Linked DNA regions of Xenopus tropicalis. The protein of the gene in region 1 binds, or shares a complex with, the protein of each later gene. Links are inferred from orthologs where the notes say so. Each region holds a gene or a part of one and is shown on either strand. Other genes may lie near its edges. The genes, in order: nsun4 and mterf4.

What was found.
Region 2: the proteins of nsun4 (region 1) and mterf4 are in contact, whole or in part, in a crystal structure (PDB 4FP9), measured with the Homo sapiens proteins. The link is inferred for Xenopus tropicalis from reciprocal best matches to the Homo sapiens genes NSUN4 and MTERF4. Residues at the interface, in NP_950245.2 of Homo sapiens: Pro61, Ser62, Arg64, Val65, Leu68, Ser69, Glu70, Arg136, Gly137, Asp138, Ile139, Arg141, Asn367, Leu368, Met369; in NP_872307.2 of Homo sapiens: Tyr267, Glu269, Arg270, Leu271, Gly272, Arg273, Glu311, Glu312, Val315, Phe316, Lys318, Leu319, Arg322, Glu323, Glu326.

Annotation. Positions count from the first base shown.
Region 1 is NC_030680.2:93,251,784-93,266,927, reverse strand, and holds nsun4 (5-methylcytosine rRNA methyltransferase NSUN4), read right to left. Parts: upstream 11,977-15,144; 5' UTR 11,957-11,976; coding exon 11,873-11,956; intron 10,548-11,872; coding exon 10,129-10,547; intron 9,972-10,128; coding exon 9,817-9,971; intron 9,247-9,816; coding exon 9,086-9,246; intron 6,670-9,085; coding exon 6,545-6,669; intron 6,389-6,544; coding exon 6,112-6,388; 3' UTR 5,885-6,111; downstream 1-5,884. UniProt on the Homo sapiens protein: Mitochondrial RNA cytosine C(5)-methyltransferase that methylates cytosine to 5-methylcytosine (m5C) in various RNAs, such as rRNAs, mRNAs and some long non-coding RNAs (lncRNAs).
Region 2 is NC_030681.2:125,977,785-125,993,586, reverse strand, and holds mterf4 (transcription termination factor 4, mitochondrial), read right to left. Parts: upstream 9,649-15,802; 5' UTR 9,564-9,648; coding exon 9,561-9,563; intron 7,830-9,560; coding exon 7,508-7,829; intron 6,995-7,507; coding exon 6,810-6,994; intron 6,106-6,809; coding exon 5,647-6,105; 3' UTR 5,520-5,646; downstream 1-5,519. Other genes in the region: sned1 (sushi, nidogen and EGF-like domain-containing protein 1), read left to right, coding at 5-103, 1,402-1,509, 2,130-2,217, 2,586-2,692, 3,297-3,322. UniProt on the Homo sapiens protein: Regulator of mitochondrial ribosome biogenesis and translation. Binds to mitochondrial ribosomal RNAs 16S, 12S and 7S and targets NSUN4 RNA methyltransferase to the mitochondrial large ribosomal subunit (39S).

The DNA.
Region 1 (15,144 bases):
CGCCGAACATGTAAGTCGGCGGCGGGATGGCACACGCGGCGGCGCGATTTTGCGCAAATCGCCGAAAAAGACTCGCAAGTCTTTTTCGGTGATTTCCCGAAATTGCCCCGCCGCGTCTAGTGCTAGCGCCCTAGTGCTACTTTGTCATTGCCTCCGCCGCTTGTCGCTCCGGCAGAGGCAATGACCGATCGAATCGCCCCGCGGGAGGGCGGGGGGCGGGGAGGTGGGCGGAGTTGGCCGACCGGGTTGCCTAGGGCGCCCGGTTGGCTTGGCCCGCCCCTGCTTAAAGTTACCAGGAATGGCTTTTTGCAGCCCCTGGTAACCTTGGGGGTGCTGCTGGGTTTGCGCCATGGTGTGCTGTAGCGCGTGACATCACTCCCACCTTTCACCAGGTGTTGATTAGAGGCAAAATATCAGCAAATATTTTGAATGAATGAATGTGCTGCAAAAATTAGCAGTGAAAATGTCACAGGAAAAAAAAAAACCCATCGACTTCAGTGTAGTTTGAGAATGTTAACCCTATCATGAATTTTCAGGACCTCTGCAGTTGTTCATTTTCAGTTCCAAGAGCATAGGATAATGCACAGAGGCTATGGCTTGTAAGTAGTATAGAAAAACAAAAGTATATTCCAGACCCCGCCGCCCCTGTGGTCTACACCCCTTTATAGTTACACCAATGCCATCTAGCTTTTGCTAAAGAACAGACTGCAGGAGCAGGCAAAGAGATAAAGACAGTTTTGTTTGTTTTTTTTCTCATAGATGAGTTTAAAGTGCCAAAGTCCAAACACAAGTCTTTGTACTCTATGGCAAAGGGGAGGCCAGTAACCAATACTAGGATTAAGCAGGAGTGAAAAGTTAATTTGTCAAAACACATTTAAAGGGACACTGACATTCCTATTAAAATCCATAGGAAAATGTCAGTATTACTAAACAGTTGCAGTATAAAAATCTAGCTTGTGAAAAGTCCCAAAGGCACCCACAGCTGAGCCGTACTTACTCGAGTGACACTCCAACAGAGTGAAAAGATCCTCTGCAGTTGTGTTCGTCACGCTGGTTTAAGGGCGGCGCAATCTTTCCATAGGCCGGAGTACTGTTTCCATTTGTAATTATCCTATGGAAGGATCACGCCAACCCCAATCCTGCATGACACAGGAAAACAAGGCAGCTCTTTCTGCTATTGGTCCCCTTTAAGAGAAGCAGGTACTGCTGGGCTAGGGGGTGGCTGTGGGGGACCTTTACTTGAAAAGCTTTTCATGCTGCAGCCACTTAATAATACGGACACGTTCCTTTGGATTTCCATAGGAAAATGTCAGTATTCCTTTAAGGTGGCCAGGAACCTGCTGATATCGGCCGACTTGCCGATCGGACCAGTTGGAAAATTTCGATCGGGCGCCATAGAAGGCGCCTGATCAAAATCTCCCTTCAGAGCTGAATCGGCAGAAGGAGGTAGAAATCCTATTGTTTCTACCTCCTTACCTGCCGATTCAGCCCTGAATGGTGTGTGGCACATCTGACGATGTTTCGTGCGACCGATGGTCGCACGAAACATCGTCAGATCGCCACGTGTATGGCCACCTTTAAAGGGGTACTAAAACCTGTACAGCACTGCTCAACAAAACTTACCCAGCTGTTCTGGACTACAAATCCCAGAACCATTTAACATAATGAGGGTTGAGCTATAGTCCAGTAACATTAGGGTTGTATTCTTAAAGTAATATTGCATAATAAAACTTTTCCCCAAACCTTGGTTTGGACGCATTAAGCACAGTTTTCTTATCACACAGATATCACTACCGTATATACTCGAGTATATAAGCCGAGGTACCTAATTTTACCTAAGAAAAGTGGAAAAACCTATTGACTCGAGTATAAGCCTAGGGTGTCACCAGTAGGGCTGGTGCGAGCGAGCCAGCACACAAAGTGTGCTCACACTTTGGTTTATCCCAAAAATTGCCCCCTGTCTAGCCTAAGAAATATATATAGGGTATAGAGTGTTTTAGACAGTGGTGGCCCAAGAAAGGGACTAGACAAGGTGGAGTGGGCAAAGATCAGGAGAGACTGGAAAAGGCAAAGAACAGGACCAACTGGCCTGACAAGTGCGGGACAGGTAGGAGCAAGTTGGAACAGGCATAAAACAGGACAGACGAAAGCAGGACGGAACATTTAGATAATCCCTTACTCAGCATTATAGCATTTACATTGTTAATACCAGGAATATATTGAATTCTTATCACTACTTTATATATATAGCTTGATATAAATGCCCATGCCTCAGCTTGTAACAACCAAAATGACTTGTATGGACCTTAAGTAACACAGACAGGGCAAACATTGGGCCTGTACTCCAGTATGACTTGTTCGTATCAGCTTTTGTTGTGACTTGTGGCAGGTGCAGAAAAGGAGCAGTTGTGAGTAAAAAAGGTTTCATTGTGGGATACAAATGGCAACTTACCAATTTTGCACATGACGCTTTTATATTTGTTTCCCCAATTGGTTGCCCTTCAGCTACTGCCAAGCGACTTAAAGTCCCGCTCTCTGCCTATGCCAGCTTCCCAGAAATATGCAAATAAGATATATAAATAGAGAAACTAATGAGATGCAATGATTGTGGGAGCTAAGGGGGCAATGTACCAATCTGCAGATCAATATTTTTAGCTATTTAAGGCTAATCTGCTCATTTGCAACACAGACCAGGACCAGAAAGGAAAGGATAGGAGGGGGGGAATGAGTTATATAGCTTTATGGCAAAACCTCAATTAGTGAAGTGAGTATAGATCACATGCAGACCATTACTATTTTTATATATAGGGCTAACCACTATTACAGTATGTCATTACTTGATAAAAGTAAATACTTCATTGAATCCTCTGATAAAATACTATAGAGATTATTTGGAAAAGTTGAATTGTATAGATATGGCCAGATTCAACAATTATATCAGTGAGAAATATGTGTTTTTCATATTTATGTAGGAATAATCAGTAAACAGTAAAACAGTTTCCCCGTGCAACCTTGAAGAATTTAAGAAGCTGCTTCTGCATTTCGGCAGATAAGCTCATACAGACCTCCTACCTGTGCGTGCTTCTGCTCTGCTTGGCGCCGCAGTCGCGCCAGTGACGTCACGCACCCCCTTCAGTTACTCGTGGCCTCATCTTAGACCTTGTAAGATCAGCGACGCCAAGCAGAGCAGAAGCGTGCACAGGAGAAGCACGCACAGGTAGCAGGATGGCGGTTCTGGGAAGCTGGCATAGGGAGAGCGCGGGTGCACGAGAGCGCAGGTACGCACGGACACAAGTCCGTCTGGGGGGGGGGCACATCGGCAGATCAAGCACAGTTATCACATCCGTACCATATACTCGAGTATAAGCCGAGGGTTACTTTTTGAGCACATTTTTAGTGCTGAAAAACTCGGCTTATATTCGAGTATATACGGTATATGTCCTTTAACCGCATGTCCGATTCCATTGTCATATAATGAAGAAACAAAAAGACATAATTATCTCTGTATGTAAGATTAACAGCAAGATGTCTGACATAGTGCTGGGAATCAGCATTCTTATTGGTCAATTCTTTTGATCTTATAATGAGATTTTTGGTCAGTAGAATGCTCAGTGGTGAATTTTCTTGCATCTATAATTATGTTTTTGGACAACTTCTAAAGTAAAACTAGGAGGCGCAGTGGGGCCATGTTATGGTTAGGTTTACAACCCCTTTAATAGTGTATGAACATACTTTGCAAATTATTTAGGAACATCTCCCCTTCCATAGTAGGGGTATAAAAGGTGCATACCTGAAAATCATTTGTAACACCCATGGTGACAGACACACAAATACACACTGACAAAGAGGCACACTGAATAATAAAAATAAAAAAGGAAAGCAACTGTCCCACACAAACAGTAATAATCTCTATCCACTGCTTGGTGCAGCTCTGTAATGGTCATCTGAAATGTAACTATAAGTTTAATCTCATAGATAAAAAAAAAAAATGATGTATTAGGGCTGAAATCCATGGGAAATTTTGACAAGATTGAGATTGTATATGATCATACAAAGCCACAGAACAGCACAAGATTGTCTAGGATTCTACAAAATCTGATCTTCACAGCTGTAATGTAAAGTCGGGTGGTGGGTTTTGTTCCTGTATCTACCTTCAACAGTCAATGTATTTCAAAGAGAAAATGGGCCCGATTCACTAAAGTCCGAAATAAGGAGTGCTATTTATAGCATGCGTTAAAAATCTTATCACTTCTTATTTTTCGCTCGATTCACTAAAAGGACACTTGTCATAATTAAGAAGCGATGTTCTTGGTGTTATTTATCTTGCAACGATATATTTTCAAGCAACGTGCTGCGTAATATGTTGTGCGCTGCGTAATATATTGCTTGAAAATATGTAGTCGCAAGATAAATAACGCCAAGAACATTGCTTCTTAATTATGACAAGTGTCCTTTTAGTGAATCGAGCGAAAAATAAGAAGTGATAAGATTTTTAACGCATGCTATAAATAGCACTCCTTATTTCAGACTTTAGTGAATCGGGCCCAATAAGTCTTGTCAGACACTGTCAGATTTTATCTTGTTGGATAAAGCCACAGCAGGCTCTTCCATCAGTGTGTCACATCGGATGGCAAATCTTTCATGTAGTTTACACCTCAGATTTTTGTATCATTTCTATTATAGTTTGACCCATGCAACTACATCCTACTCCTAGGGTGCGTTTTGTCGATCTCACACCACTGGAACAGGCAGCGGAAATGATTACACTTGGTTCCTGCATTGACACTTATACACAGGCAGATATAAATTGCAGATTCGGACCAATTCCCCAGTGTATGGGGACCCCCAACAGGCCTACCCAACCAATATCTGGCCTAAAATTGTCCAGATGTCGATTGGGCAGGTTTGATTTTCTCATAGGATCGGGGGCCACATTGGCCCATTGATGTGGTCCTATTCCCATCATTTTAATTTGATTGTTTGAACAATCAGTTAACCGAGATCTACTTGTTTGGCAACTTATATATGAAAACACTTCAGTAGCAGCCATTAAACCATATATTTAAGATCACATAGGACCGAAAATAAGCTTCACCACAATCTCAATTGAACTGAACTTGAAGCTAGTCTTTTAGGAGAGCAAATTGGTGTTCTCCCCAGATCATATTATAAATTAGTCCTCAGGCTGAGACACCCAGCAATGTACTAGGAGTTAAAGGAGAAGGAAAGATTAAAAACTAATTAAGCTGTATCACAGCTTAAATACAGCCATAAGCACTCACAGAAATGCTGCACTGAGTCATCTTTTAAAAGAAACACAGGATTTATTATTTTCTTCTTTTGTGTACACATGTTCTTCTATGTCAGACTTCTTACTCTCAGTTTGCTCCCCTCTCCCCCTCCCATAAGAATTCACTCATCCTTCCATTAGAATTTGCTCCCTCTCCCAACTCAGCACGGAAGCTACTGAGACTAAGCTAAAACTACAGCTGCTATCTTAAACAAACAGAGGGAGCTTTTAGGGCTCTTTACTTAGGTATGATAAAGCTTTCTGCAGAATAATGTCAAAATGCCTTTCCTTCTCCTTTAAGCCTTATTTCATAGCAGCAAATGTTCCATATGTATTCTTGGTGGAAATGGGGACTAGTACACAGGTGTGGCATAGAACTCTACTTGTTCATGGCATGGCACTCTGCTTTTGTTACCAGGGATCATCTAGCATATCTGGCCTGTGCATTTTCATTTAACCATTCAATGTACAATTCAATGTTTTGGAGGAAAAAAAAAAAGCAGAAAATGCAATAAGCAACACAAAATGCTTCCCCCCCCCCATACAAATTTTGTTTGTTCCACTTTCTTAAGAAATTAAATATAGCAAACAAAATTTCTAACATTTTTTTTTATTAAAATAGAAATTGAGTTGTCCTCATAACTGCCAGAATATGTAAACATATTAAAAAAAAAAAAAAAAACAAATTTCCAAGAACATCCTATGCGCCACTGTTCATACCACTATATCTGTATTCCATGATTTGCAACGTTGAGTTGAGAACACTTACAGAGGTGAATTAAGGTATAAACATATCTTCAATTCAGTAATCTTTTTAGTTTTTATTCAATTCTTAAAAGTTTACAGAAGAACATGGGTCCAAAATTTGCTGTGAGATGAGGAAGGACTAATTCTCCTACACGGCACCCTTGAAAAAAGTTAAAAGTGTTCTTGAAAACTTCCCTGAAGCAGCTAAGGTCCTGGGGTTTAACATGGACTCCATGATCAGAAGCTGCAAGCTCAACTGCCCTCTCCACAACACATTCATTCTGCAACTGTGACAAAGAACAGGTGGAGTACACCACTTCTCCACCCGGCCTCACAGCACGTAGCCCAGCCCTGGGGGAAAACATAGAGCTTGTTATTGTTTTCAAGAAGACAACTGGTACATTACACATAAAGAGCAGAAGTAAATGAATTCTATGATTTTATTTTAAGGTATATTGTTCTTAAAAAATTAGTGCAATCAAAATGTAATAATGCCGAATTACTTACACAAGCAGTTCTGCTTGTAACAATGGCAACATCTGGCGCTGCTTAGTCCTTATACGATGGAAGATGTTGTTTTCTTCTTCTAAAAGGGAATGGCGGTCAGTGGTACAAGGGACATCCACTAAGACCTATACAGCCAACATAAGCAAGTATCCATAAGTCACACCATTAATAAAATAAATAAATTATACAACAAACTGCATCAAAGCATATGAGATGACCATACAGGACCTTTCCAAACCAAAGAATTAAATGTAATCACAGAATGTTTTCATCAATTAAAAAAAAATAAAAGATAACCTTACTTCAATTAAGCATAATGTTTTGGTTTTAAGCATTTTAGATGAACCTGCTCTTTTCTTTTTCCACACAACTGATTTATGTGGGTAATCAAGCAGATGGAGAAAGGGTGATTCTGTGTTAATAAAAATACTAAAATTCCTACGTTTATTAATCTTAAAAAATAAAAAAAAACCAACATAATCCATTCCATGATAATTTAGCTCTCAGGGTAAAAAAGCCAAGTTTATGTTTTGTCAAGTTCAAAGGAACAATTCAGAGTAAAAATAAATTGGGCAAAATTGTGTGTGAAATAAAACATTTTCTAATATAGTTAGGCAAAAATGTAATCTATAAAGACTGGAGTGAATGGATGTCTTATTTAGTCAGTGACTTTGGGGGGGGGCAACGTGGGACAAAACTGTTCAGTTAGTTTGTGAGCAGACAGATCAGATTCAAAAGCAAACTAACTAAACAGATATGTCCCATAAGGCCCCCCCTAAGTCACTGAATGGTTACTGACTGCTAACAGCTCAGAGAGCTGTAAAGGATGAAGTAGTGTTCTGTATTATGTTATACATCCATTCACTCCAGCCTTTATAGATTAAATTTTCGGCAAACTAACTGTATTGAAAACATTTTTTATTTTGTGCGGTCTATCTACGCAGTTTCATTTTTACACATTCATCTGTTCTTTTAAACATTAAAACAACAAAAATTAATATTACGGCAAGGTAAGGATCTTAAAAGCATATCATAAGGGCAAAGTCACACAAAGCATTGGCTCCGCTTCTCTCCCCTACAACTCTGTGTAGCTGCATTGACAGGAACAGCTTCAGCCTAAATGGAGATTGACCCCGAAAATGCCCACATTCATGTTTCTCAGACTGATCTCATCTCAACTCCGCTATCCACCGCTCTGCCTGTCAGTGCAACGGCACAGAGCTGTGGAAAAGAGCAGATCCACTTTTCTCCACCTGCCAATAAAACACAGGCAGAAAGAAGCGGAACCAAGACTTTGGGTCAGATTTACTAAGATTCGAATGCTCCAAGCGTATTTTCGACAAATTTTTCGTCGCTTAGGCGACTTTTTCCATGACTGTGCAACTTTTTGATACACTTGCGCAAAAAAATTGGAAAGGTTTTCCCGCTGTTTACAAACGTTCGGTACAAAAATTTCGTGACTTTCGTGATCACCAATACGATATTATCATGACTTTTTTCATAAGCATTTTCATGATATTTGCGATCTTCAGAAATTTTCGTATCCAATCCGAATTTATCCCATTCGGGACTCAAACTCGTGATTTCATGAATCTGCCCCTTTATGTGACTTCCCTAAGAAGAAAGACTTTCATTGTGTTGTCTCACTAAGAGATACATAAGAGATACATGAGGATGGTAGCTGTAAAAGCATTTTCTGATAATGATAGCACCAATCTAAATATATTTTCACTGTGGAGCTTTATTTAAATTGACTCTTGAGGACTCTGATTCACAAAATAGTTGAAAAAAAGAATGTAAGGCATTATGGGAAATGGAGTCTTGGTTGGGGACAGCTAATTTTAGTTTAGTATTATACAATTACTGCAAAGGGGAGCACCACCACAATGTCAAAGCCTAAAATTAATCAAAGAAGGTGTGCAAGATCTTATTTATAAGAACCTAACTATAATGCACACCATGAGTAGGTGTAATAACAGAAAACTTGAAAAAATAAAATATATTAAAATTATCAAAACAGCACAGGGTTACCTGGTAAGGTGGATCAAACTCCCAAGGGAGAAAAAAGTCAGTAAACAATTGCACTACTGGGTTATAACACACGTAGAATGATGGATTATATATTGTATTCCTGAACCACTATAACTCAGACATCACAATCTAAAAAAGTGGCTAAAAGATCCTGCCATCAATGTTTGAAATCACACCAAATCAAACCTACACACAATCCATACAGTGACCCAATACAACACTCACCAGTAATGAGTCTCAGTGACAAGAAATGGGTCAAAGCTGCCCCAGATGCAAACAACTCCCCAGTGCCATCAGGTAAATAATAAAAAAGAGAGAGACCCTGCCTGATTTGAAACAAAACTAATTTTAATTTAGTCGGGCAAACTTAGAAGGGAATAGCAAAAGATTATTAAATTAATTGCACTAGTGTTCTCTGAGTAAATTGACATACATTTTAGGTTTATATTCACTTTAATCTTGGTAATAATCCAAATACTAATATAACCTTTAAATTTGCAACAAACTGACCCTGTCATATGTGTTAGCCTCCGCATCTCCCCACAGCCTTCCATCCTGCGACGTGATGCACACTTTATGCTCTGTACGCTGGGCTCTAGGAACATAACTACGCAAAACTCTGTGGAGACGGCTACTTCGGGAAGTAGACAAGTCATTGGCAGCAAGATATTCTGTTGAATAAGAGTACAATGGAAACAAATGTCAAAAGAAACTAAAATATCTAAAAGGCATATATTGATAATACATAGCGCTGCGTACACAAGTAGTGCTTTATAAATAAAGATATACATACATACTTCATAAAGCACATAAATGTTTGTTCTTATACCTAAATACAGAAGAATTATTATTGTTTTTATTTAAAAAAAGAACTTATATATTACACCAAGAGTCCCCAACCTTTTTTTACTCCTGAGCCACATTCAAGCGTAAAAGAGTTGGAGAGCAACACAAACTTGCAAAAGGTTCCCGGGGGTGCAAAAAATGGGCTGTGATTGGCTATAGGTAGCTTCTATATGAACTTATACCATATAGAAGGCTTTGTCTGGTACTACTTATGGTTTTGATGCAAATAAAGATTGCATTTTAGCCAGGAATTTAAAAATAAGCACCTGCTTTGAGGCCACTGGGTGCAACATCCAAGGGGTTGGTGAGCAAGATGTTGCTTCTGAGCCACTGGTTGGGGATCACTGTTACACAGTGATACACATACATACAGTATATTGCAAGTGGTTACATACGGCAATTTTCAGTTTGTAAAAGCGCCAAAGTCTTTCCTCCAGGCGCTGCACAAAGATCAAGAACACTATGACCATGCTGTACATCAAGAGCCAAAACAGGCAATAGTGAGGCGGCATCCATTAAGTAATACTCCAGGAGTCCAAAGCTGTCTGACCTGAAACAAAAGCAAGTTATTACAGCAAACAAAAAAAAAACAATATTTCACAAGCTTTCAAAGTCAAAGCAAGTATAAGGTACATTTTAACCACATAAAATAAATGCTATATAATGGTACTTAAAAAAATCAGTGAATGAAATACAAAATAAATTACCTTGATTGAGGAAAACGACTTATATCACCCCTGGAAAATTTGAAACATGTGAGTTTTGTATTAGAAAGAGATGAAAGCAGGTTTGTTGCTTGAGTTTTCTCTGCATTATTTTTCTGTCCAACCAGATTCAGAGATGCTTCACCTGATGTCATTTTTTCTGAGGTGTCCAAATTGTTTTGTATTTGCAATAATGATATCACATGTTGAGCCTCAGAGATAAAGTCTTTTGCATTAAAAGCACTGAGATTTTTCAATACGGTCTCCTTATGTGAGAAATTATTGACAAGAGCCCCATACTTTTGTTCTGTGAGAAGACTAATACGAATTGAAGGCCATAGATCTCCAAACTGCATGCTGTAATTCATGTCGAAATATTGCAAAGCAAGCCTTGAACATGGAATTTTTGGAAGGGTTGTTGCCTTAAAGTTTGAAAAAGAAACACAATTCAATATAGAGAAAGCAAAAGCAGGGCTACTGGATGGCCTTATAAACATAAACAAAAAGTTCAACAACCAAAATTAAATAAGTTTGCCCTTTATTAATTTCAGTTGAGCAAATATTAGCTGTTTAAAACACTTCTCTATTTCCCTGTGTAGCTACTGGAGTCCAATATAAACCGTGGATTAAAATTAAGAAGAACTGACAATAGCCAGAGATTAAGGATATTGACAGTGTCAGGAAGCTAAGTTGCTACATGCAATAAACCTATTTGGCCACTAGTGAGTGCTAGACACAGCAAATATACCTCTCAGCAGACAGCAGCAAGTGCTCTTCCTAGAACATCAGATCATGGGAGTATCCTGGACACTTTTTTTAAAAGTATGTTACTGGTTAAAACATTTCTTTTGATAAATAATTCACACAACACACATGCACATATATGCTGTGTTAGCTGCAACAGGACTCACTTTATAAGACCAATTATTATGTGGCACATATAAAGTAAAAAAAAAAAAATATATATATATATATATCAGGTGGAGAATATGCACTTTTTGGCACTCTGAACCTTGCCCGTATGGTATTCTAATGTTGCACCCCCATAATAGAAACTATTTGTGCTGACTAATTTTGGATACAGCCATAATAATATACCTGGCCGAACCGAATCTGAATCCTCAAAATCACATTACTTTTTGTCACATAAAAACAGACTTAGGATTCAGATTCGATTTGGTTTTTAGTAAAATCTTTCACAAATGATTCTGGGTTTTGACAGATCACAAAATAGTGCATTCAGCACATCCCCAATTGTTTAGTTCTACAAGAAACAACAGTAACAAAGAAAAAAGCAAATATATTAAATAAAATATATTGCTGCAGTATATCTGCTATTGAAGTCCTGAAAGTACCTAAATACAAACTACTATATTCTTATACTTTATGGATAACAAAAATGTGGCCCTCTATCATGCTGTTCTTGCTGAACTACAACATAAAAATACCAGATCCTTAAAAGAGAACCCTGAGCTATAGCATTACACCTTAGAGACTTGCTGGCTATACAAACACTGTGCAGAAATCTCAATAATCAGCCAATGTCATTACAGCAAAACATAATCAAGAGCACCGTTATGCATGTACAATTACTAGTCTGGTAAGAGCTCTCTACGAGGTTTTATGATGGACAGACACGGTGGTGCTGAAATGCTGATGTTAGAAGGTTGAATGGGGGAGCAAACTACGTCTTGTTAGATCTGTTTTCTCAAATATGAAACTTTTGCCAAGGTCATAAAGCCCTTACCCATTTTTTCTTGAATTTATGTCTACGAAAGGTCAGACACGAGTCATTGATCCTCCTCAATAAAAATCCCCTGCAGGCTGCCATGTTGCTGTGCACCAAAAAAGCCCTTCCGCCCTGACACAATGCAGGAACGCATTTTGTTCCGTCAACAGTAACCTATCGGTGAGCTCTAGCTACCCAGGCATGTTACTGTTGCCGAGCAGCTCTGGCGCTGTTAATAGAATGTATCCTTGCCCACCGTGGGAGATGATAATATTGTAACAAATCAGCATGCCAGGCTTTCACTGATTCCTTGCTTGTGCAAGCCATTTTTTTGGTTTTATGCGAGTACCCGTCAGTGGACTAATTTCAGTACCCACGCTTAGAATGTTCAGTCCGCTAAACAGAGAGATTTATTGTTCGCATAGAGCAGGATTACCTAGATTACTACGTTTAGCATTTGTAATGCTGAGAGAAACGTACCAGAGAGGGCTGCCAACTTTGGAAGTGTAGAGCAAAGTGGTTATTAAACAATGGCGATAGCGCAGCTTAGGACCCATTAACTAAAAGGGGTGGTTTACCTTCTGGTTAACTTAATATGTTACCAAATGACCTATTCTTATCAATTTTTCAATTGGCCTTCATTTATAATAGTTTTTGAATTATTTGCTTTTCTGACTTTTTCTAGCATTCAAATGGGGGCCACTGACCCTGGCAGCTAATAAATGATAGCTCTGCCAGGCTACAATTTTATTGTCGCTGTTACTTTTTATTACTTATCATTCTATGTAGGCTCTCCTCCTATTTATATTCCTGTCTCAATTTTAAACCACTGCTTCGTTGCTAAGTTAAATTGGACCCTAGCAACCATATAGCTGCTAAAATTCCAAACTGGAGAGCTTCCAAAGAAAAAGCTAAATAATTCAAACTGCAAATGATAAAGAAGACAAATTGCAAATTTGATAAAAATAGCACTCTCTGCATTATGCAGGGTTGGATTGTCCTGGTGGGAAAAAGCTGACCCAGACCCGATCCCCATTGCCACTCCCCCTGCTGAGCTCCCACCCCTGATCGGGCCAAAGATATAACAAAATAAAGTACACACACACTGGAGGGTAGAGCGTTGGGTGGGCAGTGGGGACCCCTGGAATGGAAGCCCAATAGGCTCTGCACACCTCAGTCCAACCCTGACATTATACTGAAAGTTAGTTTAAAGATGAACTACTCAATCTAACTATAGGGGGCACATTTACTAACCCACGAACGGGCCGAATGCGTCCGATTGCGTTTTTTTCGTAATGATCGGTATTTTGCGTTTTTTTCGGAAATTATCGCGACTTTTTCGTTACCAATACGAGAGTTAAAACTTGCGCGAAACGTCGCGCCTTTTAAGTTTTAACGCTATGAAAAAGGCGCGACTTTTCGGGTAAGTTTTAACGCTACGAAAAAATCGCCAGATTTTGCGCAACTTTCGGAATGGCTACGAAAAACTCGCATTTTTTCGCGCAAGTCGTAATGGCTACGAAAAACTCGCGTTTTTTCGCGCAAATCGTATTGGTAACGAAAAAGTCGCGATAATTTCCGAAAAGTTGTAAAGGCGCCGAAAAAATTGCAAAAAATACGAAAAAGTCGCAAAATGCTCGTTTTTCAATCGGAATTTTTCCAATTCGGATTCGAATTCGTGTCTTAGTAAATCAGCCCCTTAGTGTTAAAAGTCAGTATGTTATAACGTCTCACGATACCGTTCCTGCATTTAGGTTCAGTAAGTTAATGACACAGGGCCTTTGTTTGAAACAGCTGCCCAACTTTTTCACAAACGCCATTAGGGTGTAACATTACTGTTTGTGCTTTATAGTTTTCCTATAAAGCAAACTTTAAGGAAGACTTTTCTGCATGGGTTCTTTGGTTTGTCCTTACAAAGGCTAGCTGGAAAAAACCAATATATAATAGCCATAGCAACACACCAGTACATACATGTGTCTGTGAGCAAAAAGTGCAATTCTGTACTATTTTCCATTCTGTTAAGGCCTAGTGGCCTTACACACCATTGTCTGTGCTTGCTTTGTCATGCAGTGGATTGTTGCGCATTCCACCATGCAGGTAATGTACCCATCAGTCTGTGCACATAAGCACCACATTAATTACAATCCTTATATAGAGTTACTGTCAAGTTGAGATCTGGAACATGTGCATTAATTGGTGACAGTAGGAGTCAAGAAATAACACACACACATATTATATATATATATATAGGTCAAAAGTGTGGGCTGTACGTGGTGCTGCCAATATATGGTTATTGTACAACTTAAAACATTGATGAGAGTAATGAGAGTATTCATATGAAAAACTAAAGGGTGAAACCAGGCTTGACATATTTAAAGAGAAGTCATGTTTGACTTCTCTTTAAATATGTCAAGCCTGGTTTCACCCTTTAGTTTTTCATAAAAAACCTAATAGGATGGACCTTAATAGGATGGACCTTAGTGTACTGCAGGTATAAGTGCTGCGTACATCAGTAGTATAGTGGGGCTAGCAGTTGGAGATGAGTAAATCTGAAGGTGGTGTGTTTTCCAAGCTGTCCAGACCTTTAAGTACTCAACAATATTGAGTTGAAGGGCGATACTGCATTCAAATTTTTGGTTACCCTCAATTTTATCATCACTCTCTACCCAAGAGGGAATAATGTTGGTCTTTCACTTAAACACAATGAAGATTTGTACTAGTCAGACATGATTGATTCATTTCAGCGTCAACTTGGGTAGCCCTTTAAACTGTTTACCGAGAAGAAAGGTCTGTATATCAAGCTTGATTGTGTCATATGTAAGATCTAAAGGGATTTTTCTTTTAGGTCTTAGCCCAATTCAGAAGTTGCTACTAACATAATAAAAACTAATAACCCACAGCAACCAATCAGAAGACAACTTTTTCTGGTCTGCTGTTTGTTATCCCTTTCTACTTTAATTTGGTTGCAAACTGTTTAGGCTTATATCTGTTGATCAGAAGATTAATTTATCATAGCTTCAGTAGCCAATATACTGTAGTTGAGTTTAATAGAATGATTTCATTTTTTTTTTTAAGTAAGCAAAGCAGAAATAAGAGAATAAAATTGACTCAACACCAAATAGCTTTATTAACAGTCACAACATTGCTGTAGATATTTACTTATAGGCATCTATCCCACAAAATATTAGCCATGGTGTGGAGAATAGCACTGTACTGAAAGCAGGATCAAGGAGTCACAATCCATAGGATAATGATTCACAGCCAATGACCATTCAGCTCAGCAAACAAGT
Region 2 (15,802 bases), on another chromosome or scaffold:
GTAGAGCCAGACCCTCCAGTCAAAATTGAGAGCTCAGACGAAGCTGCTATTCCTGTGAGGCAGGCGCTGCAGCTACAGGACCCTGAGCAAAGAAGCAAAGAAGGTGCAGGAGTGATTCTGGAGAACAATTAGAAGCTGTTTGGCTTTATGTATCCTGTGTAGTTCCTATGATTTATGAACCTGCATATCCTGCTCTGTTTGACATCATGCACATGAGATATTCCATGTACCGACATGATTATAAATTCTCTCTATATGTAGGGTGTACTTGCAGCTATACATCCCTCTGGCAGCATTTGGCATCTCTAAAGGAAGATATTTTCTTACTTGGGGCCATATACAAGCACATTTGGTGGCCATTTTATCAAACCAAGTGGTAGTAAATATTGGTTTCCAGAGCTGAGAGCCCTACAGTTGTACCCCACTGATGGTTGCTGTGTATTTGTATCCGTGGAAGCACCAAAGAGAGGTGGTGGCAGTACTAAGGTTTTCTGTGTCAATAGGCACAACTGCGCTCAATTCATAGCAGGAGGAAGGCAGTAGCGCTGAGCCAATTTATTCATATGTACAAGAACGCAAGTGCCTAATGAATGGGATTTTTACTGCATCTAGCTGATTGCCTGCAGGCAATGTTGCATTAGTTCTGGTTGTATAACTGATCTAAAATCTTAGCTAAGATTAGCTTATTTTAGGATTAGCTTCATGTATGTACATATATATATATATATATATTTATTTCATTTTAGTGGAAATCACCTGCCACCACAGGGACACTCACAGGTTTGGCAAAGGTCCCTTGAAAACGCTGCAGCCAGTGCCAATGAATAAAGGACAATTCTGTCCACTAAGCTGAAAATCCTTCCTGCAAGGAAACACTGACCCGCTTTGTGCTGTTGCCCATAATAATACTAATGAGGTGTATTGCACCAACTGTTGTTTAGATGCCCATTTATGTGCCAATAATATTACTGCTGTAGATGTGGGCAGCCAGTAGATGCAATAGTAGCACAGGTTCCCTTGCAGAAGCACTGTTGTTGTTTGAGAGCCACAAGATCACTATGAATGGATCAATACCTGAAGAACCTTGCTTGGTGATGTATTTTATAGTTGATCAATATTTAGTAAACTGACCAACACTCTAAGCAGCACCTAGGGTTTTATCTTCAAAAAGAAGCAACTAGCTGTGGCTATTTACTAATGAGGTTTGTGTGTTGTGCCTCAGCTAAGGTAAGCAATATGGCAGCTCCCAACATTGTTTCTAGAATGACATGCTTTCTCTGGCATGTGCAGCTCAGGAACATGTGAGCATGCTACAATGTATATAGAGTAGGATACAAATGATGTCTGTGTATCTCATTCAGTAGAAGTTGACTTCTTCCCTTTTAACGTGAACCTTTCCAGGAGAACGACTGGGCTGCCTGGAGACCCCGTGTCTTAATGGAGGGACCTGTGTGAATGGAGACACTTGTGACTGTCCTCTGGGATTTAAAGGGCAGCAATGCCAGTTGGGTATGTAACCGTAACCTGACTTCTTTTATTACTTTATTAGTGGTTGGGTTAGCAAAACTTTATTAAGCCCAAAAGACTGCTTTCAGTAGCAATAGTAATTGAAAGCAGTATACATTTATCTCTGGTTCTGACTCTTGAAACAATATGACTACATATTCCTTTAAAAGTAGAGCTGTTGATAATGGTCAATGATCCCCACCATAGACTTTGAACTGCCATTTACAGTTATTTTCTATTTGTATTTAATAAAAGTGAACAGATTTCAGAATGCAGGACTTAGATATGGGGGCACTGGCAAATGTTACAGAATATAAAGGTGATATTTAGTGTATCATGGCTACAGGAGAAAAGACAAAGCTCTCTATTACTAATAGTATTGGGCAGTCACTCAGATGGGGTCTGGAAGGAGTTATACAGCAGCTCGGCAATTTGTTCCAGAAGATTTATATGTTCAATAGGGGATGAGCCTGGGAATATCTCAGGGGAGAGCGTGAGTCATTGCGCTGTGCTGGTGTGTGTGGCGCAGCTTGTTTATTGCAGGAGATCTGCTGCTGATAATACAGATGTGTGTTGTGGGGCCGTAGCCAATTGGCTGGGGGGGTAACACGTTTCTTCTTCAGCCTGCAGAAAGGAGACCTTTTCCTGCACAAGACTGATTTCTGAGACAACATCACACCCAGTGTGGGAGGGAGGAATCTGCCACCACCTGTAAGTATTTATTGCTACATTCTAGGGAAAATATACTCTAAACAGGGTTTGGATTTTCTGCCATAAACAGCAATTGGCCACATTTAATTTTGGTGCCTTGGGGACAAATGCCACACGTGACTCTGTGGATTCAGGGCCATTATTAGTTACCTCATTACTGGTATAAGGAATGGCACTAAAATGGTTTTATTCTCGCTTCCTACAGCTGTACTGCCATCATGGCTGCCCTGAACAGAGGAAAGAATGATGGGGGGGGGGGGTACAAGCTGTGCAATCAAGCTCTTCTATAAATGTATTTTATAGTGACATTTGAGCTTGTTTACAAATAATTCTGCCATGCTACTAACCCATGCCATGTCTGTGTGCAGGTACAGAAGAGTTTACAAGGTACAGAATGATGTGTGCAGCAGGGAGGTTTGTGAAGGTACCAGCAGAAGCAGAGCAAGTGAGTGGACTCTTTTGGTTACAATTACAGGTATGGGATCCCTTATCCGGAAACCCCTTATCCAGAAAGTTCCAAATTACGGAAAGGCCGTCCCCCATAGACTCCATTATAAGTAAATAATTCTAACTTTTAAAAATGAATTGCGTTTTCTCTGTAATAATAAAACAGAACCTTGTACTTGATCCCAACTAAGATATAATGAATCCTTATTGGGGACCAAACAAGCCTATTGGGTTTAATAGTTAAATGATTTTTAGCAGACATGAGTTATGGAGATCCAAATTACGGAAAGATCCCTTATCTGGAAAACCCCAGGTCCCGAGCATTCTGGATAACAGGTCCCGTACCTGTATTAGGTTAGGCCACAAGTCTGCAAAGCCAAGGGAAGCCCACTTGATGAATGTAAGTAACAAGCTGAAATCAAGTCTTGGGGACCCTCACTGATACACAGAGGCACTGCCTTTGGCTGCCGGCAATAAGAATTACCTTAAAGTTTAAGCCTCCCCCCCCCACACAGACAGCTTTGATTTAGCTGAAAGGATGGATGTTTCCTCCAATTAATTAAATAAATTGCTATAGGTTTCCCCTATAACCAGGGGACAATCGCTGACTCAGAAATGTTTTTTCTTTCTAGAAAGCAGAATCCCTTCCAAGCCCTGAACAGCTGAAACTGTAAGTGATACAAACACCCAAATATATTGTTTCCTTTTGTGTGTGTACTGGCACTGCGTGGCACAGGCAGATTACAGGGCATGGCAGAGCACTATGTACTGCTACTTTAATTGTCTTTTTTTTCTTTGCAGGTTTAAAAGCACTGAATTTTGCAGGGGGGGAAGGTCTTAATCATCACACTGCCCCAAGGGGGACACTAAGCTTGTCTCCACCTTCCCAATATTCAGAGACTCTGTGGCCTCTCTCTTATTGTGCAGTGGCATTGCCAGTACTGGCCTTGTGGCACTAGCCTTTGCATCCCTGCGGAGCAGCCCTCCTTCACATCCTCCTCTAAGGGTTCAGAAGAGCAGCATTCCCTCCTCTCCCTGGACAAAGATCTTACTTCTCATAATTCTGATGGAAGATCTGGAGACAATTGTTTTTTATGGACATACGGAGCATGGTTTGGCTCTGTTATTGAATGCACACCTTGTATCAGATCCTAAACAGCAACAAACATGTCAAGTGTAAGCAGCTGCAATCCAGTCCCGTCTGTACAGCATTGGTACAGACTACTACTACTACTAGAGCCAAGGACCTGCAGCACGAGATACCCCAGTTCAGGGGCCCCAAAGCACAGAGCTGTATGACACACACTGCCTGAAAGCCCTACAGTATGTACCACAGAACCTCACTACATTAGAGTAGCTGCTTAATTAGCCCCTTATCTCAGTGTGTCACGGATGCGCGGTATTCTCCAGCTTATTAACCATCTAAAACTGGTCCCTTCCTGCACCAGTATGGTGACAGGGTTATTCCATTCAGCATTCCCATGTCCACAGGAGCTTGGTGGTACTATGTCCATCTCAAGTCTATAACATAATGTACATGGACAGCTGCTACACCTTTAGGTTATAGCGTGGACTGGATGGTTCTATGTAATTACAGCATCAGGGTGCTTTAGATTGTCAGCTCTCTGTAAGAAATGTTCCCAGTAATGACACAAGCATAGAAACAACAGCCCTAAAACTGAAAGGCACTGGGTCTGGAACTCATTCCCTTGTACTTCCTGCTACTTTGTTAGTCCCTACCACTAATGTCAACTTCACCTGTGCAGTCAGCATTGTACGGTGGCCCATGAGGACAAAGCACAAACTGGGAGGCCAATACCAAATCAGCCAGAACCCAAGTGCCAGACCTGTAGAGCGGGCTTAGAGTGCTGTAAGTTTGCAATCACTGAGCTGCCCTAAACAAAGGTACATTATATTCACATACATTGCAGGTTACAGAGTCTACCTTATGTTATTATTCTTGCATTCTCCTTAGATTCACCACTGATCTCACTGCAAGAAGGGGTTAATAAACCAAATGGATTGGTATTAATCCAGTAGGTGCCCACACACAGTATCACTTCAGGAGCCCCAGGGATTTCAGATCTCTAGTTTAGCAGTGAGATCTCCTATCATACGGAGTGCTTACAGCAAGGCAGGGCGAGGCGCAAATTATTTTTAAATTCACAGCAAATTAGGTTGCGCCTCCAGGTGAGGTGATGACAATACATGTGGCTGAGCTTTCAGCTATTTTAGTGTGGTTGTCCAGGCGACTAAGTTTTCTAATAAAACATTTTATTAAAAAAGTGGAATCCTGTGTTTACTTGCAGTATTATAACTGGAGTTATTATAGATCTACATTCTCTATGTGCAAATAGACAAATAATGAATGGCCACACACATTTCTGTGTCATTGAGGGCCCATGTCAAAGTATTTACGATACTTATGGAACTTTAGCAGAATGACTATTTCTGCCATGGTTTGAGCCGTAGTGGGCTCGAGCATATGTTGACCAATAAAAAAAATGGTTTAAACCTCTGCCACCATATACACACATACTGGAACTCTGACAAGTGTCCCTGCTTTTCAAAGAGCCTTGTTCTCTACTTTATACAGTACTACAGCGGCGAGACAAGGGCAGGCTGAGGCTGATGAATTTGGTTGAAGAAAGAAAGTGGCCCCTAACAGAGCCTAATATGGGCCCTACAGGGCTGCATCAACCTGTTAATGCCTGATGGGATTTTCTAACCTGCCTGATGGAGGTCAAGCTGATTTTCAGCCAGATATCAGTTGGGTAGCCTTCCAGGAGGCCCCATACACTGGACAATAAGTTGCTACATATGGCCACCTTAAGTCAGACAAAGTTCCTGCTGAAGGAGGTGCACTTTGTATTACATAAGAACAAATATAGCAAATATGAATCAAGGAAAAAAGAAACTAAACATTTAATAAGTTGCAACAAGGCAGCCCATTCTTTAAATGGACAGCAATATGGAGGTCCTTTATGGTCTCACAGGTCTATTAGCTGATCTCTTCTTCTGCTTCCTTTTATAATTACTCAGTCTCTTGTGTGTTTCATCTTCTGTTTCTCCACTTTTATCCCCAGAGTGTTCACTGTCTGTATCCTCTCCCTCTGTGCCACTGTCTAAGTGGTCCCTTCCTGCCTCACTGTCCTTACGTTCTCCAGCCTCCAGCTCCTCTCGTGCAAATATTTTGCGGAAAGTGTGCAGTTCCTCAGGAGAAACCCGAGCAACATGTGCCAAAAAGTCACTGTCTGAAAGTGCCGTGACCTCCTTAAGCTTGGGGTTAGAGGGTGGGGAGACCCCCTTTTTATCAGGGGGTAGGAATCTTCCCAAGCGCTCCAGAAACTGATGCCGAACCCTGATTTCATCCAGTGATGTCTGGAATAGGCCAGATGTTATAATGTCTTTGTGGCTTGCACCCATCCGGAAATATACATACTGCAAAGGTAAAGTGTAAGGTGGTCAGGCCTACATGTTTTAAGACAGATATGACATTCCCCTTGATTCTCAGAGGGGCATCCTGGCCATGAAAACGCCCTTGGTAACATTCCTTATACAATATGTAATAAATAAAAGATAGACTTTGAACATATTTTTCTAACCCAACAACAAACCCAAGCAACAAAAAATGGGAAAGGATTGGGATTTGGCATATTGCAAGCAAGTACCCAAGGATGATGTGGGTTTGTTTATTTTTTGTTTATAGAGAAGGTGCACAGGCCAGGGGCAGAATGGTACCCTACCTGATACAGCAGGGGGCTTTAGCCTAAAGAATATGATAGCTAAACTACCCTTTCCCTTATAACATGGAGTATCACAGCTCAAAAATGGATCTTTCAAAGTGAAGGCTTTTTTTGCATTTCAGCTAAATTACATGCCATGTTTAAATATTACAGGGACAAATGCAGATTATTTATCTGAGGGTTGGCAGCCCTATATCCATTCAGTTGTAAGCACTCGTTTAAGAAACATGAAACTGCATGAAATCCATGTTAGCCAGCGAGCCAGTCAGTTCCACAGGATATTGTGTAATAGCAGCAGTGCCTCTGTGTTGCCAATATATTCCTATCCTGAGAGGAGGCAGTATCTTGGTTTTGCATGCATCAGTACCTATTATATTCATTGATAGTTTTGTTAATCACCTGAAAAGCCTCTTCGAGGTAGCTGGGGTCATATGTCAGGGCTTCTGGGGAGAATCGAAGGATATCAGTCAGCTGCAGAGCTGAGAATTGACATCGCTGTCTGAGGCATTTGGCAGCTGCCAGGACATGGGAACGAGGAAGCGAGAGAAGAGCCGGGCATCTGGAGAGTGATCGCTGCAGGAACCCTTTTAGAAAAAAAAAAACAGCAAAATAAAATGTGATAAATGGTTTTGTATCATACAGATCTCTACAGGCTGCCTGTATAATGTGCTTTCAGTGTATTGGTCACAGGGCCCCTGGGGTGGGGTGAATGGGAGATATTAAGTCACAGAAACAATATGAAACTTTAAGAAAGTGAAGGGTATCTACTTTGTTACTGATAGAAGAGAAAAAGTCTTAAGTATAAAAGAACTATACTAGAGCAGCAGCTCCCTCTACTGGTAGAACAAACTTAGTGCAGCAACAAAGACAAAATAAAATAGAAGTTATGGTAACTAGAGGTCACATTTAGAAACAGTGTACATATGATAAGGTTTCAAGCGATTGAAGCCTATGAAAACAACGTTACACACATGTTGGAAGCCATAGCTGTTCTTTTATTCTGTGGTGGAAATTCAACCATTTCACTGCAAAATGGCAAATCAATTAACACAAGCAGCAAATGGCTTGGTAGAAGGGTTGGAAAGGAACACCATTACCTTCCCCCAGCCCCAGGCTACGAAGATTCTCAGTTCTATCTCGGAGTTCTCTTACAGTTGCTTTTCGCAGCTCTTTACTGTCCTCCAACATCTTGAGTGCGGCCTGCGGCTTTAGTCCAATGAGCAGCAATTCCTTGGTACAGGACACTGTGTGCCATGGGTCACCTCTCCTGGGTTTCAGAGCGAGGATTCTTCCTGATTGCTCCTCATTAAAGCCTAAATCTAGAAGTTCCTGGACGGCAACAGGAAGACTGGACGAGGACAGGTAGCGGAAGCCTAAGATGGAACTGGGCATAAAGCAGCGACGGGGAAAATAGGAGACCTAGGGTGGAAACACAGTTATATCAGTAAATAAAAAGGCAGCTATTATATATTGTGTTTGGAAACAGCTCCCACTGGGAATACAGAAAAAAGGCAAGAAGGCGGCTTCATTACACGGACACAAGAAGGGAAACCATTGAATTGGTTACCTTATGGCTAAAGCTGGCCATACATGGGCAGATACATCCTGCTGATTTGGCCCCATTCAGGCCTATTAATCAGCTTATCTGGCTGTGTATGGGCTTTGTGTGCCTGCCTCCTTGGCAGATATATGGCGGCAACAAGGCAACAGCTAGAAGCAATATTAGGCCAAAAAATACCAGGCCATGCCATAGGGGATACTGAGAATTACTTCTGCTGAAACACTCATGTCTTCATATGCATTTTTGGTGCAATGGTGCAATTTGAATGTTTTATCAGAGGTGATTCTAAGTATTTTTTGACACCAAGGCTGACGAAACAGCTCCAGGTATAGGCACAGGGAATTACTGATGCCAGAGTAGGGGCTGATTCTTGGCCTGTATTTATCCACAGACCATGACCGAGAATCATACGTGTGGCTTTACCCTAAAGGTCTGTCCATTAATGGGGCCCTCTGATGGGCCTCCCCAACCAATATCTGGCTAAAAACTGGCATTGGCTCATTGGTTTGGTCCTCGCTCCGATGATTCCTATTCCTGTCCTAGAGCCAAATGATGGAATTAGCCCAATATCACCTTAGGTGGGCATATCAGGAGAAGGATCCCCTCTTTTGGCAAACTCTCCAAACAAGAGAATCTTATGGTATATGGTATATTTCTCTTATTAAAGGGTAATTCCAGCTCTTAATATTCTGAGAGTGTTATTCCAATCCCAAGTGCCAGGAAATGTACCGGGACATATGTAATATTACTGGGAAACATGCAAAACTTTAATTCTAGTACCGTGGTTTTAGCCACAAATTCCCAAACTGTGGAAAGCGTAACTGTGTCTGGCGCAAAGCTGCAATCAAGTTTACATGGTTCTGATAATAGCGCCATCTGGGCACAACTTGTACCTGGGATGTAACACCGGCACACCGTAGAGCTCAATAAATAAAACATACATATTACAAGGCCCTGTCGCCTGTATGTTTGAGCAGTGTATCAGTTGCACAGGCCCAGGGTTACACAGACAGTGCAGTTACTGCCCCAGGCTGGGGGGGGGGGGTCTCTGCACTAACAGCCCCAGTGAGGAGCACCCAACCCAGAGAGGAGCACCCATCCCAGAGAGGAGCACCCAACCCAGAGAGGAGCACCCATCCCAGAGAGGAGCACCCAACCCAGAGAGGAGCAGCCAACCCAGAGAGGAGCAGCCAACCCAGAGAGGAGCAGCCAACCCAGAGAGGAGCAGCCTCTCACTTACACACCCTTTAACTTATTCGTTCTGTTATATGGAACAGGACATGGAGTTACCAGAGGGGGCGCTTTCCATAATCTGGGTCACTATAGTAGTTACATTTGCTTAAATAGGACTTTATACAAAACGACTAATGTACTTCCCGCTTCCTGCATACTAGCTCCCATAGCCCAATACACACTGTACCCCAGAGGGAAATAGAGACAGTGTATAACTATAAGGAACAAGCACAGAAAAACCTGCTGCCACTGCAACTGTGCCTGGCATTTTAATGAAGCAGAAAGCGGTGTTAGTGTTGTTGCTACAGAGCAGGGGCAGGGTGACACAGAAGGAAGAGAAGCCCAGGCGAACTCACCATGTTCCTCCTCTACCCTTCCGCCTGGGACGCTCAAGCAGCCGCATCAAAGCGCCTCAGTGATGTCATCAGCATGTGACCGAGGGAGGGCGGGGTTAGAGGCAAGGTGCGTCACGTGATAGCTTCCCCTAAACAGGGGGAGAGGAGGTGCAGGGAGGAAGTAGAGAGTTGAGTGAAGGTGGGTATCTGGGGGCACAGGGGAATGTTATTGGGCTGCGGGCATTCACTCACAGCTGGGGAGTCACAGGGCAGTGGCTTTCAGCTAGGGATGTATGTATTCAGGCTATTTAGCACTCTGGGTTGTGTTCAGCTTCTGTTGTCTCTAGTGTATTCTGTATATGCATTATATAGTCAGTCCCTAAGCTCAGGGAAGTGCCAGCAGCACAGAGATGTGCAGGGAATCAGCAGAAAAGGGGGGGCTACTGGGGCATCTTTGGGGGCACAGATCTTCCCTGCTGTGTCTGTGGGTTTCCTCCTGTTACTTCTGTTTTCTCCCATCACTCCAAACACATACAGGCAGGTTAACTGGCTTCTGACTAAACTGACCATGGTTTGTGTGAATGTGACCTTAGACAGTAAGCTCCCCTAGGGCAGGGTCTGATGGGAATTATAAGTAATCTCTGTAAAGTGCTGCAGAAATGTGTTATGTGCTTTATAAATAACAGGAAGTAAATACAAAATAAAGAAATAACACATTGTCATTAGGTTAATTTGTCGTTGAGCTGTAGTTCTACTTTAATGCCTACAACTCTTCAGTTTGCCTATTAAGGTGAGGGGAGTAGTGCCACAAATGTATTGAGGGGTCACCAATGGATATTTTCCCTGGTCCCGCCATTATTTGTGTTAGAGCTTCCCGGTTTTATACTGATATTTATAGTCCTGGGACCCACTGGGGGAAGCAGATTATTTGCTTTAGTTCTGCTGAGAGCATCATATTTAAAGGGGAAGGAAAGTAAGCTTTATCAGAAAGGTCTATGTAAATACAGCCATAAGCACTCACAGAAACGCTGCACTGACTTCTCTTATCAAAAGAAACTTACAGGATTTCTTGTCTCCTTTTTTGTAAACATGTTCTTAGGGTATCTGACTTCCTCTCTCAGAAAAATCCTTCATTCCCAGGGACAGAGTCTGTGCAGCTCTCTCCCCTCCCATAAGAATTCATATAGCTCACTCCCCCCACCCTTAGGAATTTGTAATCTGAGATACCAATGGCTAGACTGCAAGCAGGAAGCAATGAAGACCAAGCTAAAATGGCAGCTGCTATCCTAAGCAAAGCTTCTAAGGCTTCTAGGTATAGTAAAGCTTCCTGCAGAATAAATGTAGTGTTCAAGGTGGCACTAATGTGGTGAATCTATTGGCAGTAAAATGCCAAAATGACTTTCCTTCTCCTTTAACTTATAATTAACAGAGCATTCAGTTGTTTAAGCTAAAAAGTGTAATTATAAATACAGGCAAGCAAAATACTGTTTATTATGTATTGTGATAATAAGGTTTTGTCTTTACAGATTAAAATAACATACAGAAGAGTGCAGCTATGGCAGAAGTGAGTATGTCATTCATCAGGCTGTTATTTATATATATATATATATATATATTTAATTATATAGCCCCCCTTGTGATTCAGCGCTATACAGCAGCAGCACATTAATCAGTACAATAAACAGAAATAAATACAAAGTGCTGTGTCAAATGAAGGTCTCTGCGCTATTGAGTTTATAAGTGGGCAGGTAACAATTAATTTGGAGAATAATAAATGCTGCAGTTTACAATGGTTGTCACTGCATCGAGAATTATCATGTATTTATTAAGTTCCACAGCACTGTACAATAAATGGGCATATACAGTGTAGTGCATGGAACATAGAGATTTACATACAAATAAGCCATTAACTCATCCAAGCGGTAAAAATGGCCTTGCCCAAAAGAGCATACAGTCTGAAAGGATTCCACATTCTTCCAAACAAAAGGATGCAGATATTATTTACTTGGTATGTAAATGTACATAGGAGCTGATTTCCTAGGCATGTCTTTTTTTTTTTTTTTTTAGCAGCCATTTTGAAAACCCTGGCCCAATATAATAAGAATACTTAGGAAGTCAGATTGACTGGCACTTGCATCGTTGAAGGCAGCAACTTGTGCAGCATGTCCTAAGTGAGCTGGGGGCTGACCTGTATGCCAGTGACTTTATATGTAATGTCAGTATCCCTTTAAAAGCTCTAAGCCCCCCATAAAAGTATTTTATTTCAGGCCAGTTTATGAGTTGTTAATGTACTATACATTTTGAGATGCACTACTCCATTTTCTCTCTAATCATTATTGGATGTAGCAGCTCCTAGCATAGCCTGGCTGCTGATGGAAGAGTAATACCAAGAGTGATACAGCACCATAGGGTAGGGATGGCACCCGTAGATAGCGGTCTGTTCTGTAGATAAGGTTTAGGAGCTAGAGATGATATGAAAGCTTTGCTATGGTTTACAGAATTTAGATTACTATATTTGTATAACTGTTCCATTCCCTTCCTAACTAGGAATTACGGAGATTCCTGTACAAGAAGTTAACAAGGTAGGTTACTCCTTAATAATAATAATTTATTACTTACATAAATTAAAACATCTGGGTTATTTTACTGGACTGTGATAAAATATTAAATAAAAATGCAGAATTTAAATGGATTGTTTACAGCCCAGAAGTGAGTTGGTCCCTCAGCCAATCAGTCCCTCAGATCAATGGCTTTGATCTTCTCTGCACCTCAGTAATTGGTCTGGTTGTTGGACTGATAGTAGACTTGAAAGGCTTCCTGTGATTGGATGGAAGGTTAATCTAATTACAGATACATTAGATGCTTGGCTGTAATTGAGGGAGTGAGGGTCCAGCAGTAAGTTGGTGCAACACAACTATTTGTAACTCCTCTTTTTGTAGTGTTGATGAACTCCACGCTATTGTTGTGTCAGACAGAGATGGGGTGCCGGTTATTAAAGGTAAGGTTCTGCGCACTCACTGACTTTGCATGTGTTCTTTGCCACGTTTGTGCATTGTCTAACAGGCTATATAGTCAGGCTTATATTTAGAAATATCAGAATTACATATGGGAATATCATCCATTGCTATAGTGAAGCCAATCCATAATCAACCTGCAACTCTCTACAACTCCCAGCACCTGCTGTAGTAGTGTCACATCCTACATCCCTGGTTAGACAGTGGTTCACTAACTAAACCGCCATGCAACTTAGTGCGACTATCTCAATGAATGTATGTATATCTTTATTTATAAAGCGCTATTTATGTACTTAGCGCTGTACAGTAGAATACATTAATACAAACAGGGGGTTATTAAGATAATAATAGATAAATACAAAGTATAACAATAAACACAAATAAATACAAGATACAGTTGCAGCAAGTTAAGAGTCAAAGACACAAGAGGATGTAGGTCCCTGCCTCGTAGAGCTTACAATCTATATGAGAGACACAAATAGGCAAATACAGTATAAGTGCTGTAGGTCACAGTGAGTGACACTACAATAAAAGTGCTATTTCCCAGATCAGGTGCTGGGTGAGTGCTACAAAAGGTAGTCTTTTAGTTTGGTTTTAAAAAGACTGAGGGAGTATACTCTCCGGAGGAAATCAGGGAGGGGATTCCAAGTGTAAATGCATTAGGCTGCACCTAGGTTCTGGTTCTCCATGATGCTTCATTTGCTTCCATATTTATAGCATATCTGTAGCAACACTTTATATGGTAAATATGTTCTTATTTGATTTGTATATGTTATTATAAGAGTGGCCCATTTTTCTGCCAGATTCTAGCTTTGCTTGTGACTTTCTGCTCTCTGTTCATCCCATTTCAGTTGCCAATGAGAATGCCCCTGAGCATGCATTGAGACCGGCTTTCCTTTCTACATTTGCACTAGCTACAGACCAGGGAAGCAAGCTTGGCCTCTCCAAAAACAAGAGCATCATCTGTTACTACAGCACATACCAGGTAATTGCAGGTTTTCATCACATCTAGGCCAGACTACAGTCACTTTAACAAGATACCTGCCCAATAGTGATATGCGGTAGAGTCCTGCATGGGTCCCATGCCTAACCCTAACCTGAACCCGCAACCTGCACCAACAAGGGGTTTACTTATCACCCACAACGCCAGATTTCAAATGACGGTGCCCAGAGGCCGCTGCAATTCCCCTCCCCCACTCAGGGCCGCGCACATGCGCATCCATTTAGCTCGCGTACAGAGCACTGGGCTGAAGTTTTTTTGCACGTCCTGTCCCCAGTCCTCCGTATGTGAGCAAAGTTTAAGTGCAGATGGGCGGCGTGCCGCCCTAGGCCTGGGCCTCGCAACAAATCTGGGCCTGATCTGACCTGTGAGCCCGAAAGTCATGTCACTTAGAAGGTGGATCAACCAGCTAAAGGGAAAAAATTCCTTAATCATTAGGGGTGGGTGAGAGGGCTTAGACCCACAGCTGAACTGATACCCAGACAGGATACATGCCGACTGCCTTGCCGGTTGGTGAATTGGGAACGTCCTACCTGAGACCTGAACACTTAACGGATATTCTGCAGGTCTTTACTGTGCGGGTTGACAAAAAGTTGACCTTCACCCAACTTCAACCTTAACCTGGCGAGTTTGGTATTTATAGATCCACCTCTTTCTGACATCATTAAATGGGCGAAATACACAGGTGCAAATCTATAAATAGTGATATCTGGAGGCAGAAGCAGGGCATGGTAAGAACAGGTGAGTGTTGGATACAAAATATTTAATTCCCCTTGCACAAGGGGCACATACGTTTATGCATGAAAGGCATAAACCGCTACATTTTGATAATATCCAACACAGAATCTGATGTGCGCCTAATTATTCCGATTCCTTCTTTTGTGTTTTATAGGTTGTCCAGTTTAATCAGCTGCCTCTGGTAGTAAGCTTCATAGCAAGCTGCAATGCCAATACAGGTAAATGTGCGCATATCTTGCTACATATGCCCAAGCAAGGGCTTTCGGGGTGCATCCAATTTTGTAAGATGAGTTCTTAAAACCATTTAAACTTTATAACAAGTGTTTAGTTTTACCAGGTCTGGTGACCCACAGCAACCAACCATATGCTAGCTTGACTGCTAATTGGTTAGTATAGGTTGCAAGCACCAGAGCAACGTTTTTACCTATTATTATACTGCCCCTCATTCCCTAAATGCCGAAACAGTGGCTGCAATAATCAAAAGAAACCAATCAAATGTTATCTTTCTGAATTCTAATGGCACTGTAGCAAATGGTCATGGAAAATATTCTGTTAGCAAATTTAGCCAGCCACGGCTGCTTTTTATTAACTCAAATGGCAGAACTTAAGTCAGCAATGGTTTCTGCCCAAAAAATGCTCCCAAGGTGTTTTCCAGTTGAACAGTGTCAGTACCAGTGTCACAAATCTCCCATTTAAGTGAACTGGAGGCAACAGTGAGTTTGTTCTGCTTGCTAAACCCTGCCCACTGTGCCATAGTGCAAACCTAGCCCCCCTCTAAATATTTTCATTTTGATTTTTACAGGCCTAATTCTCAGCTTAGAGAAAGAACTCGGCTCCTTGTTCAAAGAGCTTCGCCAGGTGGTGGAGATCTCATGATGCAGGCAATTGGATTATGGAGTCATGTAACACTTTTTTGGGACTTCAAGTAGAAAACCAAGATGGGGAAAAAAAAATATATAATTTTGTAAATGCCACCCATTTTCAGTATTTCCATGATTATAAAATAATTTTTCCCTTTAAGCTGAGAGGTACAAGGCTTTGTTAGTGCAAGTACAATCCTCTTCAGCCAGCACCTCATGCTTTATCTGTATGAATAGCACGAGGCCCTTAGTTGCCTCTTGCTAATAAAGCAAACTCATTTACAGAAACCTTCAGAACACTGTCTGTTATTGTGTTCAGCTTTATGAAACTGAGAATACCTTTGGCTATATTGCTGAATTTTTTTTAAGTCACTTTCTCAAAACGCTAACAAACTTGAACCGCCCAGAAAGCTGCCATCATGTGTATGGTACCCTCCATTGAACAGTGGCACAATCTGTGTAGTCCCTTCAGCTAATGGCTCAGTGCCTGTAGGACATCAGTAATCAGCAGCAAGTGACAAGAATGGCATTTCATTTGTCTGGATCAGATCAGTTCTAATATGCCACATGTTCCATTGTACACAATCCTTTAACACACAGGCTTAAGTTTTATTTTGCATAAGGTATAAAAACCTCATCTAAAGTCTTGCA